2 linked regions of the Pelodiscus sinensis genome follow. The protein of the gene in region 2 purifies or fractionates together with the protein of the main gene of each other region. This does not show direct contact. Links are inferred from orthologs where the notes say so. Each region holds a gene or a part of one and is shown on either strand. Other genes may lie near its edges.

The links. Proteins that work in one complex are often made in the same cells at the same time.
Region 1: the proteins of ING4 (region 2) and KAT7 purify together in Homo sapiens (affinity purification with western blotting; 6 studies listed by BioGRID and IntAct, with this or other methods). This does not show direct contact. The link is inferred for Pelodiscus sinensis from reciprocal best matches to the Homo sapiens genes ING4 and KAT7.

What each region holds. Positions count from the first base shown.
Region 1 is NC_134739.1:15,008,831-15,016,207, reverse strand, and holds the start of KAT7 (histone acetyltransferase KAT7), read right to left. Parts: upstream 3,018-7,377; 5' UTR 3,004-3,017; coding exon 2,716-3,003; intron 386-2,715; coding exon 238-385; intron 1-237. UniProt on the Homo sapiens protein: Catalytic subunit of histone acetyltransferase HBO1 complexes, which specifically mediate acetylation of histone H3 at 'Lys-14' (H3K14ac), thereby regulating various processes, such as gene transcription, protein ubiquitination, immune regulation, stem cell pluripotent and self-renewal maintenance and embryonic development.
Region 2 is NC_134711.1:138,605,884-138,613,520, reverse strand, and holds the start of ING4 (inhibitor of growth protein 4), read right to left. Parts: upstream 3,016-7,637; 5' UTR 3,001-3,015; coding exon 2,956-3,000; intron 1-2,955.

The sequences.
Region 1 (7,377 bases), on a different chromosome or scaffold from region 2:
ATACTTCCAACCCCCTCTTTAATCATTAGACTGAACAACCTATTTTATGCAATGCATCCTTGCAATGCCTTTGTTTCTTTCCCTGGCACATTTGTGTTCAATGAGAGAAAATAATGAATGAGATTAACTAAACTAAAGGTATAGATTCACTAAAATTCCTTTAAGTATTAACAAGCCAAGGATATTGTGACTGGCCAGCCAGTTGTGTCTGGTGAGGCTAGGAAGAAAGGTATTTACCCTGAGAGCTCTGACTGAGCCTGGCTGAGGAACGGGTCACGCGGGCGGATCGTCGAGATGTGCCATCGCTTTCAGAGCTGTCCGTGTGCTCAGGATCTGTAGAGAAATCGGAGTCTTCGGTTCCATCTGAACTACTGCCTGCATTCCTCTGTAACACCACAGACCCAAACATTAGCACAGGAGCACTTCCATTCTTATAATACTAAATATTCAATACTCCCTCCTCTCCCACCCCCAAAAAACTAATGACACTCAGGTAGTTTGCTTTGGAACTTGCTTTAATACAATAAACATGAGATATCAGACAGCACCATCCACAATTCAGAATTTTTGCAAACTGGTCAAAATCTAGAAAATCTACAGATAGCACCAATTTCATTTATGAAGATCATACCTGAAGTTTCAAGCAATTCCGACACTTGCTAATTTAACACAAAAGGTACCACACAGACTACTCTCATTCCAGAGTGCTCACTAAACCACTACACATACGTAGCAGAGCTTCCCTTTTACCTCTGAAAGGATGCTCTTGAAAGAAAGTGAAAAAGCAGAGCCAAGACCCAATGCATACTAGTGATGTGCAAGCACTAGCAGAGTTAGCAGCAGGGAAGACAGGAGCCCAGGTCTACACATGCCATGATCAAATGACCATTCCCTTATCCCACTGGGGCAGGGTTTGTGTTCCAGAGTTGGATTGATTGAATCTGCAGGATTTCATGCGATGGCAGGTTCACAAATACAAGTGCATCATCCTGAATCTTCTAGATGCTCCTATACACAGCAGCTGCGTCTAGACTGGCAAGTTTTTCCGCAAAAGCAGCTAACTTGCCAGCTGACTACACTGGCTGCTTGAATTTGTGCAAGAACACTGACGATCTCATGTAAGATTGTCAGTGTTCTTGCGGAAATACTATGTTGCTCCCATTCGGGCAAAAGCCCTCTTGCGCAAATGCTTTTGCGCAAGAGGGCCAGTGTAGACAACGCAGTATTGTTTTGAGCAAAAGAGCCCTGATCACAAAAATGGTGATCGGGGCTTTCTTGCACAAAACCGTCTAGATTGGCATGGTTGCTTTTCTGCAAAAAACTTTTCCGTTAAAAGCATTTGCAGAAAATCATGCCAGTCTAGACGTAGCCAGCGAGTTTGGAGAGGAGGAAGGTGAGGGAGCCCAGGGGAATTTGAGGGGATAAGGGACACCTGAGGAAATCCATCAAGGGCGAGTTTGGCAGTCCATAGTTGTGTGATCTAGAGGGGCATTAGGGAGAGGGGTGAACTAACACAGTCCGAGGCAAGTGGTATAGCAGGAACACTAAAGCAGCCCACAGTGTGTGTGTTGTGTGGTGTGGCGTTATCAGGAAATATTTGAGGAGAAATAAGGCAGCCTGAAGGAAGATGGCAGAGAGACATGTAGCGGGAGAGCTGAGGCATGGGGGGGGGGGGGCGTGGGAGGGTTAATGCAGCCCAACACAACGGGACACTAGAGAGAAGAGTCTGGGGGAAGAGCAAGGCAGTCCCGCGTGGGGCGGCGGGGGGAGGGCGAGGCGGTCCCGCGTGGGGAGGGCGGGGGGAGGGCGAGGCGGTCCCGCGTGGGGAGGGCGAGGCGGTCCAGGGTCGGGGTGCTCCAGCCACTAGCTACATGTGGCGATTTGGCCAGTGGAGCCTGGCTAGTGAGATTCAGCAGCTGCTGCTCCAGCACCGTTTGGACACCAGGGACCGGGGGGGGGAGGGAGGCAAAGGGGGGCGCTGACGGGACAATCCCGGCTGGGGGGGGGCGGTGAGAAATCGGGCGCGCGCCCCGCCCCCAGCAAAGCAGCGACGCGCCCCTCCGCACCCGGCGGCCCGTTCTGTTTTGCACCCGCCGCGTTACTACCGCTCGCTCCGGCGCGCGCCCCCGCCTGGTCCAACCAATCGCGGCCGAAGAGAGGCGGGGCGGACCGGAAGCTTCTCCAATAGAAACGTCCGTGAGAAAAGAGGCCCGGCCCCAGGGCGTGACTGATGGGAGACGCCGGCCTATCAGCGTGCCCCTGGCGGCACCAGAAACAGCCACTCAGGGAGGGCAGCCTGAATGGGAGGGAAGGGAGAGCGAACTGGGGAAACAAGGCACGCGTGGGGAGGCGACCGCAGGGGGCGGAGACGGGCAGACAGCATGTCCAATCACCGCCCAGCAGTACCGCAAGGCTCAGCCAATCAACGACCAGAGCTCCAAATCGGTGTCCAATCAGAAAGTCAAGAAGGTTGACCATGCCCCAGATGAGGGGGAGGGGGAGAAGGCAACCGTTGAGGCGATGAGTGATAGCCGCCGTAACCAATCGGTGCTCAGCAGTCCCTACTGGGGAACCATTCAGGTAGCAAGATGGGCGGGAGCAGGGGGCAGAAGGCCGCTATTTTCACTCGGTTTTCACGGCTGTGGGGGCCTGTTGGGGGAGGGGAGGGAGACAAGGACAAAGCAGACCTACCCCCCTGCCCCGCCCGGCACTCACCTTCCTGCGCGGCATCCGCGGTGGGGGCGGGGGCAGCGAAGGCGCTTGGTCTCCAGTGCCCCCGGCCCGGGACGCGGCGGTGGCCGCCGCGTTCGCACCGCTGGGCTCCGTGGTGACAGCCGTGTCTCTCGCTCTACCCCGCTGACGGTCGCCGCGCGCCAGGCCGCTCCTGCGCCGCCAGCAGAGCCCGTTCCCAGCTTGGTCCCTCACGCTTCCGCCGGGACACGCTCCACACCCCCCCCTCGTCACGTGACTCGGATCGCGCCTCACGCCAGCGGCCGCCGCCATCTTGGATTCGGACAGGTAGGGAGCCAGGCGCGGTGGGCGACGAAGCTGGCGGCGGCCATCTTGGATGTGGGCGCTGGCATTGCCCGGGGGGCCGGCCCGCCATCTTGGTTCAGGGCGCGAAGGAGGTGGGGAGGGGGACACCTCCGTAGCGTCAAAGCGTGGGAAGGGCCCGGGGGAGGCGGAGGCGCCGTTTCCCTAGGAGGCCTGAGGGCTGGGATGGGTCGGGGCCGGCCTCTGAGGCCGGGGCCCGCCATCTTGGATGCTGTCAGTAGAGCCCCTGGCTGGTGAGTATCGGGCAGGCGGGGCTCGGGTACCGCTCTCGAGCCGGCCCGTGGGGATTCCTCCCTGGCTGCTGCAGGCCGGCCCGGGGCAGGCGCCTGGCGAGCGTGGCGTGGGGGGGTGGTTTGTGCGTGCGCCTCGCTGGGGGCGGGGGGCCCTGAGCGCCCCACAGCAGCACCCACTGCCCCAATACACCGCTCCCGGCTCCGCGCTCCCTAGGCTCCGCCCGGGCAGGGGCGGGGAAGTCGCTGGGGAGAATGGGACCCGTCACGACGGTTTAGGGTACCATTGTGGGGCAGGGATAGTTCCTGGCTTGAGCTTTGGCCTGCTAAACCCAGGGCTGTGAGTTCAATCCTTGCGGAGGCCACTTAGGGATTTGAGGCAAAAGTTTGTCAGGGATGGTACTTGGTCCTGCTGTGAAGGAAGGGAGCTGGACTCAATGACCTTGCAAGGTCCCTTCCAGTTCTAGGAGATAGGCAATCTCCATTAATTTAATTGTGAAACAACAAATGAACAAGTATCACAGGGGTAGCCGTGTTAGTCTGAATGTGCAAAAGCGACGAGGAGTCCTGTGGCACCTTATAGACTAACTGAAGTGTAGGAGCATAAGCTTTCTTTGCCCACAAAAGCTTATGCTCCTACACTTCAACAAATGAACAGAATCCTGCTCTCTCCGCGATTACTTTCACACACTGCTGTTCCTTACTCTGCCCTTGAGATTCTGTGAGACAGTCCCTTGAGCATTCTACCTCTCTGTTTCCCCATCTTTCAAATGAGGGTAATAAACATCCTCTATGGATTTTAGGTATAACCTATTAATTTTTATAATATGCCTAATGGAGTAAGTAAAATCGATATGAACAATTATTCATTTATTACTTTATTATGTTGCAAACCTGAGAAGCAGTGAATGAGTGCCTGCCATGAATAACGAGAGTAAAAGAAATAGGGGGAGAGGAGGAGTTAGATTTTTAAAAAATTGTAATTTCTTCATTTCCCACTCAGTTCAACAGATTTCTAATAGGTATGGGAAAACAGATAAAACTTGCAATGTCTTTTTAGCTGATTATCCCTGTAATAATACTTGATAACACTGTTGCACATGAGGCGAGGAGTCCTGTGGCACCTTATAGACTAACTGAAGTGTTGGAGCATAAGCTTTCGTGGGCAAAGACCCACTTCGTCAGATGCATGTAGTGTAAATTTCCAGAGGCAGATATAAATATGCAGGCCAGAATCAGGCTGGAGATGATGAGGTGGATCCAATCAAGGAGGATGAGGCCCACTTCTGGTAGCTGATCTGGAGGTGAGATTTCATTAGCATCATATAGGGGTACAAAGAACTCAAAGTTCTTTTAAAAAACCTCCCACAGTGTTATGAGATGTCAATAAAGCCAAAGCCTTACTGTAGACAGTTATGTAAGGGTAAAAAAGGTCATATTACTTGTTTAGCTCATTTTTGGGGGAACCTATGGTATGAGCTATGTGCATTACACCTCCACTGCAGGTCATGCTGGTATAACTGTAATAGAAAATACTTTCTAGCATAGACAAGACCTAAATGCTTTCCCTGTTCTAGTGCTGATGAGTTACCTATCTACTTCAAATCCTAAACCTTACAAAATTTAAGGTTGTTTCTGCTATACTTTGCGCTGATTAGGCCTCAATTGGAGTATTGTGTCCAGTTCTGGGTAACACATTTCAAGAAAGATGTGGAGAAATTAGAGAAGGTCTAAAGAAGAGCAACAAGAATGATTAAAGGTCTAGAGAACATGAGCTATAAAGGAAGACTGAAAGAATTGGGCTTCTTTAGTTTGGAATGGAGAAGACTAAGAGGGGACATGATAGCAATTTTCAGGTATCTGTCACAAGGAGCAGGGAGGAAAAATTGTTCTCCTTGGCCTCTGAGGATAGGACAAGAAGCAATTGGCTTAAACTGCAGCAAGGGAGGAAGATTTAGGTTGGACATTAGGAAAAACTTCCTAACTGTCAGGGTAGTTAAACACTTGAATGAGTTGCCTTGTGAGGTTGTGGAATCTTCATCTCTGGAGATATTGAAGAGCAGGTTAGAAAGACACCTATCAGGGATGGTCTAGATGGTACTGGATCCTGCTGTGAGGGCAGGGGACTGGACTTGAAGATCTCTCGAGGTCCCTTCCAGTTCTAGTGTTCTGTGACCTCTTCCACCCCAAATGAATCATGATGGCTGATGTTTGGAGGGTTTTACAATCTTAAAAATAGTGTGGCATTCCGTGGCACCTTAGACTAACAGATTTATCTGAGCATAAGCTTTTGTTAGTAAAACCCACTTCATCAGATGAATTGGAGTGGAAATAACAGAGGTAGGGATAGAGATATATGTATGAAGGAAGTTACTTATCAAGTGTAGGAATAGTGTTAATGAGGCCAATTATGTCAGGGTGGATGTGGTTCACGCATAGAAGCTGAGGAGGAGGTGTGAATTACCAAGAAGGAAAATTGGTTACCTCACTACATATTACAAAGGCAATTTAAATCCTTATTCAGTCCTAATTTGACTGTTTTGAATTTGCAAATGAATAGCAGTTCTGCTGTTTCTCTTTGTAATCTCATTTGGAAGCTTTTTTTAGAAGGATGGCTACTTTAAAACTCATTACTGACTGTCCAGGGAGGTTGAAGTGTTCTCCTACTAGAGGTTTATATATGTTAACTTTTGATATTTGTTTTGTGTTCATTTATTCTTTGGCACAGAGCCTGTCCGGTTTGGTCAATATACACAGCAGAGGGGCATTGCTAGCACATGATGGCATTGATCCCATAAGTGGATGTGCCGATGGATGAGCTCCTGATGATGTGGTTAAGTCCTGTGATGGTGTCGCTTGTATAGATATGTGGGCAAAGTTGGCAATGGGGTTTGTTGCAGGGATAGGTTCTTGGGTAAGTGTTTCTGTGGTGTGTGGCTGCTGGTGAGTATTTGTTTCAGGTTGGGGGGGGGGGGCTGTCTGTAGGTGAGGTCAGGCCTGTCTCCCAAGGTCTGTGAGAGTGAGGAATGTTTTTTTGTTGTTGTTGTTTTGTTTTTTAAGGATAGGTTGTAAATGATCAATGATGTGTTTGAGGGGTTTTAGTGGGGGCTATTGGTGACAACCAGTGGTGTTCTGTTGTTTTCCTTGTTGGGTCTTTCCTGAGTACTCATGACTCCTGGGTACTCATCTGGCCTTAGCTGGATGCCCTTTTGTAATATTGAGATTTGATGTATTTGAAGATGGATTATGGAGTCTAAAAGAACGTTTTGATCATCATTTTTAGAAATTTAAGAATTGTACTTTTCACTTTTGCTAAAGTGTGAACTAGTGTTTTGGTCTAATGTGAGCAGTGTTATTCTACCTTGCTCAAATCCTTTTTCAGATTCAAACTGATAAAGAAGCCGTTGCTAAACTGTTGAATAGTGTTTCTGCACATTAATCAATACTACCACTTCCCACCCAGTGGTAGCTGTATTTCACTGGTGGGTGATGGATTTCTCTGTACAGCTTGTACATCAGTTATAGTTTGTAATGTGTTTTGAGATGAGTCTGGCTAAAAAGTTCTGTAACAGCTGACTGAAATTCTATTAAGTCATAGTTGTAAGATGCACACTTAAGATTTTTGTAGAATGTTAAGTTAAATTCTTGCAAATGTGCAAATCTTGTCAAATTACATAGGTCTGTAGAAGTACCAGTGCTGATAGCAAACTATTGGCTAAATGGGATAGACAATCATGCTGTGACAAGACTTGTTTTAAGTTGCTTTGCAGAAGCTAATAGCCAGTGAAGCTAAACAGCATTTTTAAAACTACTTAGGAAATTGCTTTGTGATCCTGATACAGGCATTTCCCGACTTACATTCCGAACACCTGGTTGTAACCCGTTTGTAACTCGATTTGGTAATAAGTTGAAAATATCTTTAAACATGCTGCCTGAGCTATTCGAAAAATTTGACGTACTTGGTTCTCAACTCAAAAATATTATAATATGGTTAATGGGATGTTGGTCGTAAGTCGGTGTGTTTGTAAGTCGGGGAGTGGCTGTATTATATTTGCTTGTTGCTCCCAAGAGACAAGTGGTAGACTGGAGAACA
Region 2 (7,637 bases):
CAGTGTCCTTGAAAGAACTCCAAAGTAGAGAGGAGGAGGGTGGGTTGTGGAGAACCCACAAGAGGACACATCTCAAAAAAACATCATTACTACGTAAGGTGAGCAACTCTTCTTCTTCAAGTAGCCTCTCTATGGGGTGTTTCAGTGCAGGTGACGCTTGAGCTGTATCCTCAATGGTGGGCAGGGGCTTCTACTTGAGTCAGTTACGGGTGAAAATACTGTGGAACCAAAGATGGCATCAGAAGCCGATTCTCCAGTAATTGTATAATATTCTGCATATATATGGAAACACAACTATGTTGCCAGTTCAGCAGCAACTGAGAAGCAGACCAACCTCATGGAGTGAGTGTGAATATTGGATAGAGGTGTTATGTTGCAAACCTGACAGCATATTTTAATACCGTTTTAGAGCCATTTGGAGAGTCCCTAAGTTGATACTACTGAGACCTTGGATCTCTCTGCCATAGAAATAAAACGCTTGGGAGACTTTCTAAATGCCTCTGGTCTATCCAAGTAAAAGGGTTCAGGCTCTCATAACATCTAGTGTGTAGTAGTTCAGACTCCCTGTTATCACAGTGAGGCTAGAGTAGAAGGTAAGAAGGTTTGTGTGAAGGTTCAGTTGATTTCTGTGAAAACAACAGGTCACCTTGGGGGTGAACTGCAGATGTGATCCGAGTGTGACCGTGTCTGGAAAGAATATTGTATGAGGGAATGTGCCATCAGAGCTGCTATTTCCCCTATTCTCCTTCCAGGATGGCCACTCTCATTGACAGATTTGGGAGCAAACAAATAGTCACAGGCTCAAAGGGAAGTCTAGTCAGGCCTTTCAACACTAGACTTAGTTCCCATGTAGGAGTGGGATGGCAGGATTGGGAGAAAAGATTTACTATACTCCTATATAAAAAGATTTCCTATACTATACAACTGTTTTGTGGTTGGCATGAGAGCATTGAGAATCCCACAACTTGTTGATGAAAGTTGCTACTGCTGCTAGGTGAGCTCTGAGTGAACCCTGAATTTCTGAGAATTAGTACATAGTCTAGGTCCACTGGCAGAGCAGTGTATGTTGGGGAAATTTGTTGTGAAATACACCAAACCTGAGTATACAAGAATGACATGTAGTGGATCTTCTACTGTGTAGGAATACTTCTTGCGTCTCCCTTCAGCAGGAGCTTTCTATGATCCAGAATAAAAGAGCTTGATGGAAAAGTATCCTCAGCTTGGGATGTAGAGTGCATCCTTTGTTCTGCAACAGATGGAGTGGGCTGAAGAGAGATTGAGCATGCTAGGTGAGGATATCAAATCTGTTTTATACAGGTGGAAGCAATCAGTATGATGTATAATTACTTTTAATAGGACTCCTGAGAGCAGGGGAAACTGGGGTAAGGCATAGAAAAGGTCCCTGTCTCATGGGGAAAAAAGAGCATTTCCCAAGCATTCCCCTATTTCTGCTCCGCAGCAGTAGTGTTGGCATTTCTTGTTCAGGTAAGTGGCAAACATTCCTGCACTTGGTGCCCCCCACTGCCTAAATAGGTCATGAAGCACTGCTGGGTTTAACTTCTATTCATGATCATGGGGGAATTTGCAATTGCAACTGTCCATTGAGTTTTGTACTCCCAGAAGGTAGATGTGGGAACTGCACCAGTTTTATAACTTTAGTACTTCTGAGTAGAGAGAGCACCTGGTTCCTCCCTGCCAATTTATGCATGCTATCATAGAATCATAGAATAATAGGACTGGAAGGGACCTCAAGAGGTCATCGAGTCCAGCCCCCCGCTCTCAAGGCAGGACCAAGCTCCATCTACACCATCCCTGACAGATGTCTATCTAACCTGTTCTTAAATATCTCCAGAGAGGGAGATTCCACCACCTCCCTTGGCAGTTTATTCCAATATTTGACCACCCTTACAGTTAGGAATTTTTTCCTAATGTCCAATCTAAACCTCCCCTGCTGCACTTTAAGCCCATTACTCCTTGTCCTGTCCTATGTTGTCTGTTAAGGTTATTGTGTGTGTTCCTTGGTCAGTGGGATGATGGATATAGGTATTTCTGACTGCCCTGAATTCAAGGAGGTCCATATGGAAGAACATTTTTGGGGCTAACCATTTGCTCAGTGTTTTTAGTTTGGATGGAGTGCACAGCCAAACTACGAGGCATGATTTTGGTGGTAACATCAGAGAAGTCTGAGGAAAGGGAATCATCTTGCAAATGTTCATTGGATTTTTCCACCAGTCTAGAGTTTTTTATCTTAGGGTGTGTCTAGACTACATGCCTCCTTCGACGGAGGCATGTAGATTAGCCAGATCGGAAGAGGGAAATGAAGCCGCGATTAAAATAATCGCGGCTTCATTTAAATTTAAATGGCTGCCCCGATCTGCCGATCAGCTGTTTGTCGGCAGATCGGGGGAGTCTGGACGCGATGCCCCGACAAAGAAGCCTTTCTTCATCGACACAGGTAAGCCTCGTGAAACCATTTCCCTCTTCCGATCTGGCTAATCTACATGCCTCCGTCGAAGGAGGCATGTAGTCTAGACACACCCTTAGTGGGTAGTGGCAGTCTAATCTATGTCTAGTCAGTCTTTAGACTGAGCTGAATCACATCTGGGGGCACTGCAGTTGAAGTCTGGAATGAGGTATCACATCTGTGCCTGTTGCCATGTGCCCTAGACGGAAGCAGCATTTGGCTGATATTTGAGGGCTGTCTCTATAAGCATGGCCAAGGTGTGGAACCTGTGTTGCAGCATGGGATGCTCTGGCCTTTATCAAGCTGAGGTTGGCCATACAGAGGAAAAGATTGATTTTTGTATGTTGATCTGTAAACTCAGTTCCATGAACAGGTTTACTGCAGTGCTGAAAACAGTAGAGTTTAATCAAAGGAGAAAGCCCCTTGGAGAGTAGATTTCAGCCCAGTGCCCCATTTACCGGCAACGCGTGCATGCAAAATGCGGCTCTTACACATGCGCAGTGCGGGGCTGGCAAGCGGCTTTCACCGCGGTTCATTAAGCCCTGCACATTACAGTATCCTTCTTTCAGCTGAGAAAACAGGACCTGTTTTGAAAGTTGCTGACGGATGATTATTGCCTCAGTAGTGGTGGTCTTTACCTCTTCCAAAACACTGAGATTAGTGTGCCTGTCTTCCCATTTGATCTTCAAGATCTTGCAAAGGCAGCATTGGTACCTGGAATGAGGAATGTGGTGTATGCAGGGGGAAAATAATTAACTTCCAATATAAATTTACCAATGACACCCCAGGTAATAAAAGCATATACCTCAACCCAGATAGATGCTACCAAATTTAGAGGAAATAGAGGAAATGATAAAGATTAAGACATGGAAATACAACATACGTGCGAACACTAAATCAGAACAGACAACAAATCTTCTAATAAGTATAAAAAGTGCACTTGCTTGAAAATACAAGATGATTGAAAAAGCTGTAAAAGATATAGATTCTCAAATAAGTACCCAGTATGACACTTTGTGTCATGTAATGAGTGGTGTGGGAATCAATGGATAATTGTATTTTTGACTCCTGGAATAACAGTGTTGTTTTTCCTGTGCATCAAATATGTAAACAGTATAAGAAAAAGCAAACGTTACAGGGACCCTTTAAAAATTTAATTGCCAAATTATACAACTGAAGACTGCAAAATGTCATTTTAACTTAAAAAGGAGACACATGGCCCAAAAATAATAGGTATAATTGGTGTTGTTGTTGTAATATCAAAATCACTGTTAGTAACTGGATATTGAGAAGGGACTGTTGGGATGGTGCTGGGTATTATGAATTGCTGTGGTTGACTCAAGGCTGGCAAATCTCAATTTACTTGAGGATTCTGGGAGCAGGATTCTCTGCCTCAGACAGGATATATGGAAATTTACTGAGAGTACTGATAGTACACTTGAACGCTAGTACAACTATGTACTCTGGATGTTTAATCAAGGGCCGTGTGTGTATTTGTACTTCTCAGAGAACTATGGACATCATGGACTGTCATGTTCACCAAACATATCTCATAAAAACATGTAAATGGTGACCTTAGAGGAGACAGTTCAGGGTCAAATGACATTCTAAGACAGCACAACAGCTAGAGCTCAGGTGAATGATTGATGAGAAAGTAAATGTCAATCTATCCCTACTGTCCCTTCCAAACACATCAGAGAAACAAGTTATGAAATGCCAGTGTGGCATATTTCAGGAACATGTGACTCCTTTGAAAAAGGATACAAGTATGGGAAAATATCCTATGCTCATTCTCCATACAATTTAACATTTAAAAAGAGACTGGTGACATGATAAAACAAGAAGCCCCAGATCAACCAACACCCTTGTATCAGGTAAGTTTGAGCTAGAGGGCTTCAGGGTAGCTACCACTCTGTCCTAGGAAATACCTGACAGATGAAGTGTTTCAGAAGAAACAGAAGCCCACAGCTGCTTTGTTTGCCATTTAGGATACTAGCCCAGGAGCTAGTGAGGGCTTCTGCTTGGGGACCTAGGACTTATTAGCCTTTTGCATAGCCTTTTGTTGCCTGCCTGTGATTCTTTCAAATGAAAAACATCTTTGAAAGAATACAAAGCTTTGCTTTAAGGAAAACGGAATCCGTGTTTTTACTGACACTAATACTATAAGTTCTGCCCAGATGTGGGCCAATAAAGATCTCAGCTTTTAAGTTGGTTTCAAAAATCACTGACATCTTGTGTAGAGAAAGCCTGTTAGAGATAATGCTGGTGGATGATGCATAGAAAACTTAGAACTCCATCTAGAGGCTTCTGCTGATAATAGGGTTTATACTGCTTTTGGGACTTACACTGCTTACTTTTTGTTATAGGGCATCTCTGCTATAAGTCACCCTGGTATATGTTGGTTCCGCATTAGCTTTGTTGATGCTTGTGGGAACGGTTTCATTTTCAGTGCTCCCATTCCCCGCTCTTCCGTTGCACAAAAAACCCAAACCCAATCACGCAAACAGAAGTCAAGCATGGGGAAAAAATTCCCTGCTCTATGTCCTTTCACTATACATCCACTTTTTTTAAAAGTATCTTGGACATATAGTGGGGACACTCTGCACTAGGATGTACACACCAAGCAAACAAAGAGCTCCGCAAGAGTTGGTGTTCTGGGAGAACAGTTTAGTATCCTCAAATGGTAAAACTTCCCCTGTATTTTGAAGCTCTTTTTGAATACTGGAGGCCTGATACCAAGAAGAATGTTTCATAGAAATGGCTATAGCCAACTATGAAGATCAATGGGACTAGAACAGAGGCGGGCAATAATTTTTGATTGGGGGGGGCACTTCAAGAATTTGGTAAGTGGTCAAGGGCCACATTTTTCCATGACACTAATGGAGGCAGTACTTGGGTGCAGAAAGGAACTCGGGATAGGGGGTAGAAGATTCTGACATTGAGACGTGCAGGAGAGGTTGCAGGGTCTAGAAGGGGGTTGTGATCTGGACTGGGGAATGGAGTGAAGGAGGGGGAGCAGAGGGTCTAAGGAGTCAGATACAGGCTCTGGCCAGGAGGCACTTACCTAGGCAGCTCCTGGCAAGCATCCCAGTGGGACTCTCAGGCTCCTTGCCTTCTGTACCCCTGCATGCTGCTCGAAGTGGTTGGCTGTGGGGGTCATGTGCTCTCTGAATGCTGTAAGCACCGAGGGGGAGCAAAGGACCTGCGCACTGCTCCTGTCCCGAGCACAATCTTGCAGCTCCCATTGGTCAAAAACTGGCTAATGGGAGCTGCCTGGGCCATACTTGTGGTGCAGGCAATGTGCGAGGGCCCCTCCCCCCTTCCCTGGCTCATGTTACACAGAGAGCATATGGCTCCTGCAGCCAGCCACCCTGAGCGGCATATGGGGGCAGGGAGCCTACCTGAGGGGCCTGCCAAGCTACAAGATGGTGCCTGGCTGAAGCCAGCCCATGAGACAGATTTTTCCCACTCCTGGGCTAGAACCAAGGTCTGTGAAGTCTATTACAGCTGGTGTTCTCACACAAATACAGGGAGACCATGCAGAGCCATATACAATCAGCCCTGTAGAGATTAGGCACCATGAGACATATCCCATAAAAGGTCCAGAGTAAGAGCATCCTGCAGACTTCTGACTGGCTCATGCTCACTATTTAACCATGGAGAGTGTCCTAGGAAGTTGTCAGGAAGTCACACAGATTTCTGACCAGGTGCAACTCAAGGCTTCACCTTGTTTTCCGATCTCCAGTCTCTAACTCCTACAACTCTGACCCCGACTCCCAATTCCAGTGTCATGACCACCATTTCTGATCTCTGACCCAAGCTGACTCTTAACCGGACTCCTGCCTATTAATTCCAGCTCTAGTAATTACTGCAGTCCCTGCTTGCTGACCGCCATCTTGTGGCTGTCCTTGACTTGAGGACACCCACCCAGCTGTAACCATTAAGCCAGACCACCTATGCCCCTATGTCTTACTCTGTCTGATGCATAAATCGCTAGGGCTTTGACTACACTGCAGGGTTTTCACGCAAAAAGCCTTTTGTGGAAGAGGTCTTCAGCAAAAACTTCTTGTGCAAAAACATGTCCAGACATCAAAGCGCATCACAAAAGTGATGTGCTTTTGCTCGGGAGAGCATCCACACTGCATAGACACTCTTGCGCAAGAAAGTTCTGATGACCATTCACAGAATGGCCATCAGAGCACGTGTGCTTTTTCCCATAGGGGTCCACACCTGCCTTTTTGCAAAAGAGATGTAGCGCAAAAAGGAGTTATTCCTCGTGGAAGCAAAAGCCCTCTGTTCCGTTGATTTTCTTGTGCAAAAAATGCACTTCAGGTGTGGATACTCTGCTGGTTTCTGTGCAAAAATAGCTGGTTTTGCGCAAAAACTTTGTTGTGTAGACATAGCTTAGATGGAGAGATGTACAAGTCATGAGATGACATTACAAAACTACGGTCAAGAATTGCTCGGGCAGTTTGACCAAAATTTTTGAAATTGCTGATAAGTTAATAAAGTATATTTAGACAGTGACAAATAATTTGACACACTCATTTGAAGGCTCACAATCATATATGCCTTCTTCCCACAAAGATCCAGTCTCCTATTGGGTTGAAGTTGCCTCAAACATTCATCTGCTGCTGTGATCATTGAGTCTGTAATGGGACAGTTAAAGAAATACCTGAAGTCTTGTTGAGGAACACAAAGCCTGTCTGTTTGGCAATGGGTGGGCTACAGCAAGTTGTCTGCTAAAAGGTCTTCAGAGGTTCCAGTGAGGCTTTATTAATGGCAAGGGCAATCCAAATCAACAGTCTGCACAAACTGTCTTGCACAAGTTCTCTTTTTATCATCAAGGATGAGGCTAGTCTCCTAATGGAGTTCTTGAAAAACTTTAAAAGTCATCAGAAGGACACAATGCTGACTCTGAAGTGATAACCTCATTTAAGGAAGAAGAGATATTGGGGCAGAGGGAGTATCTAGAGGTTCTTCTCCAGTCTCCTTTTCTTCAATGGGTTCCAGTAACAATGGAGGCAGTGGGCCAAGATGTGGAATGTATCTAGACACTACGGGGGGGGGGGGGGGGGGAACCATCTGAGACTGAGCCACTGACACACACATGCACGCACTTGGGGGAACATTTCTTGGTTGCTATGTGTTACCAAGCAACTTTAAAAAAAGG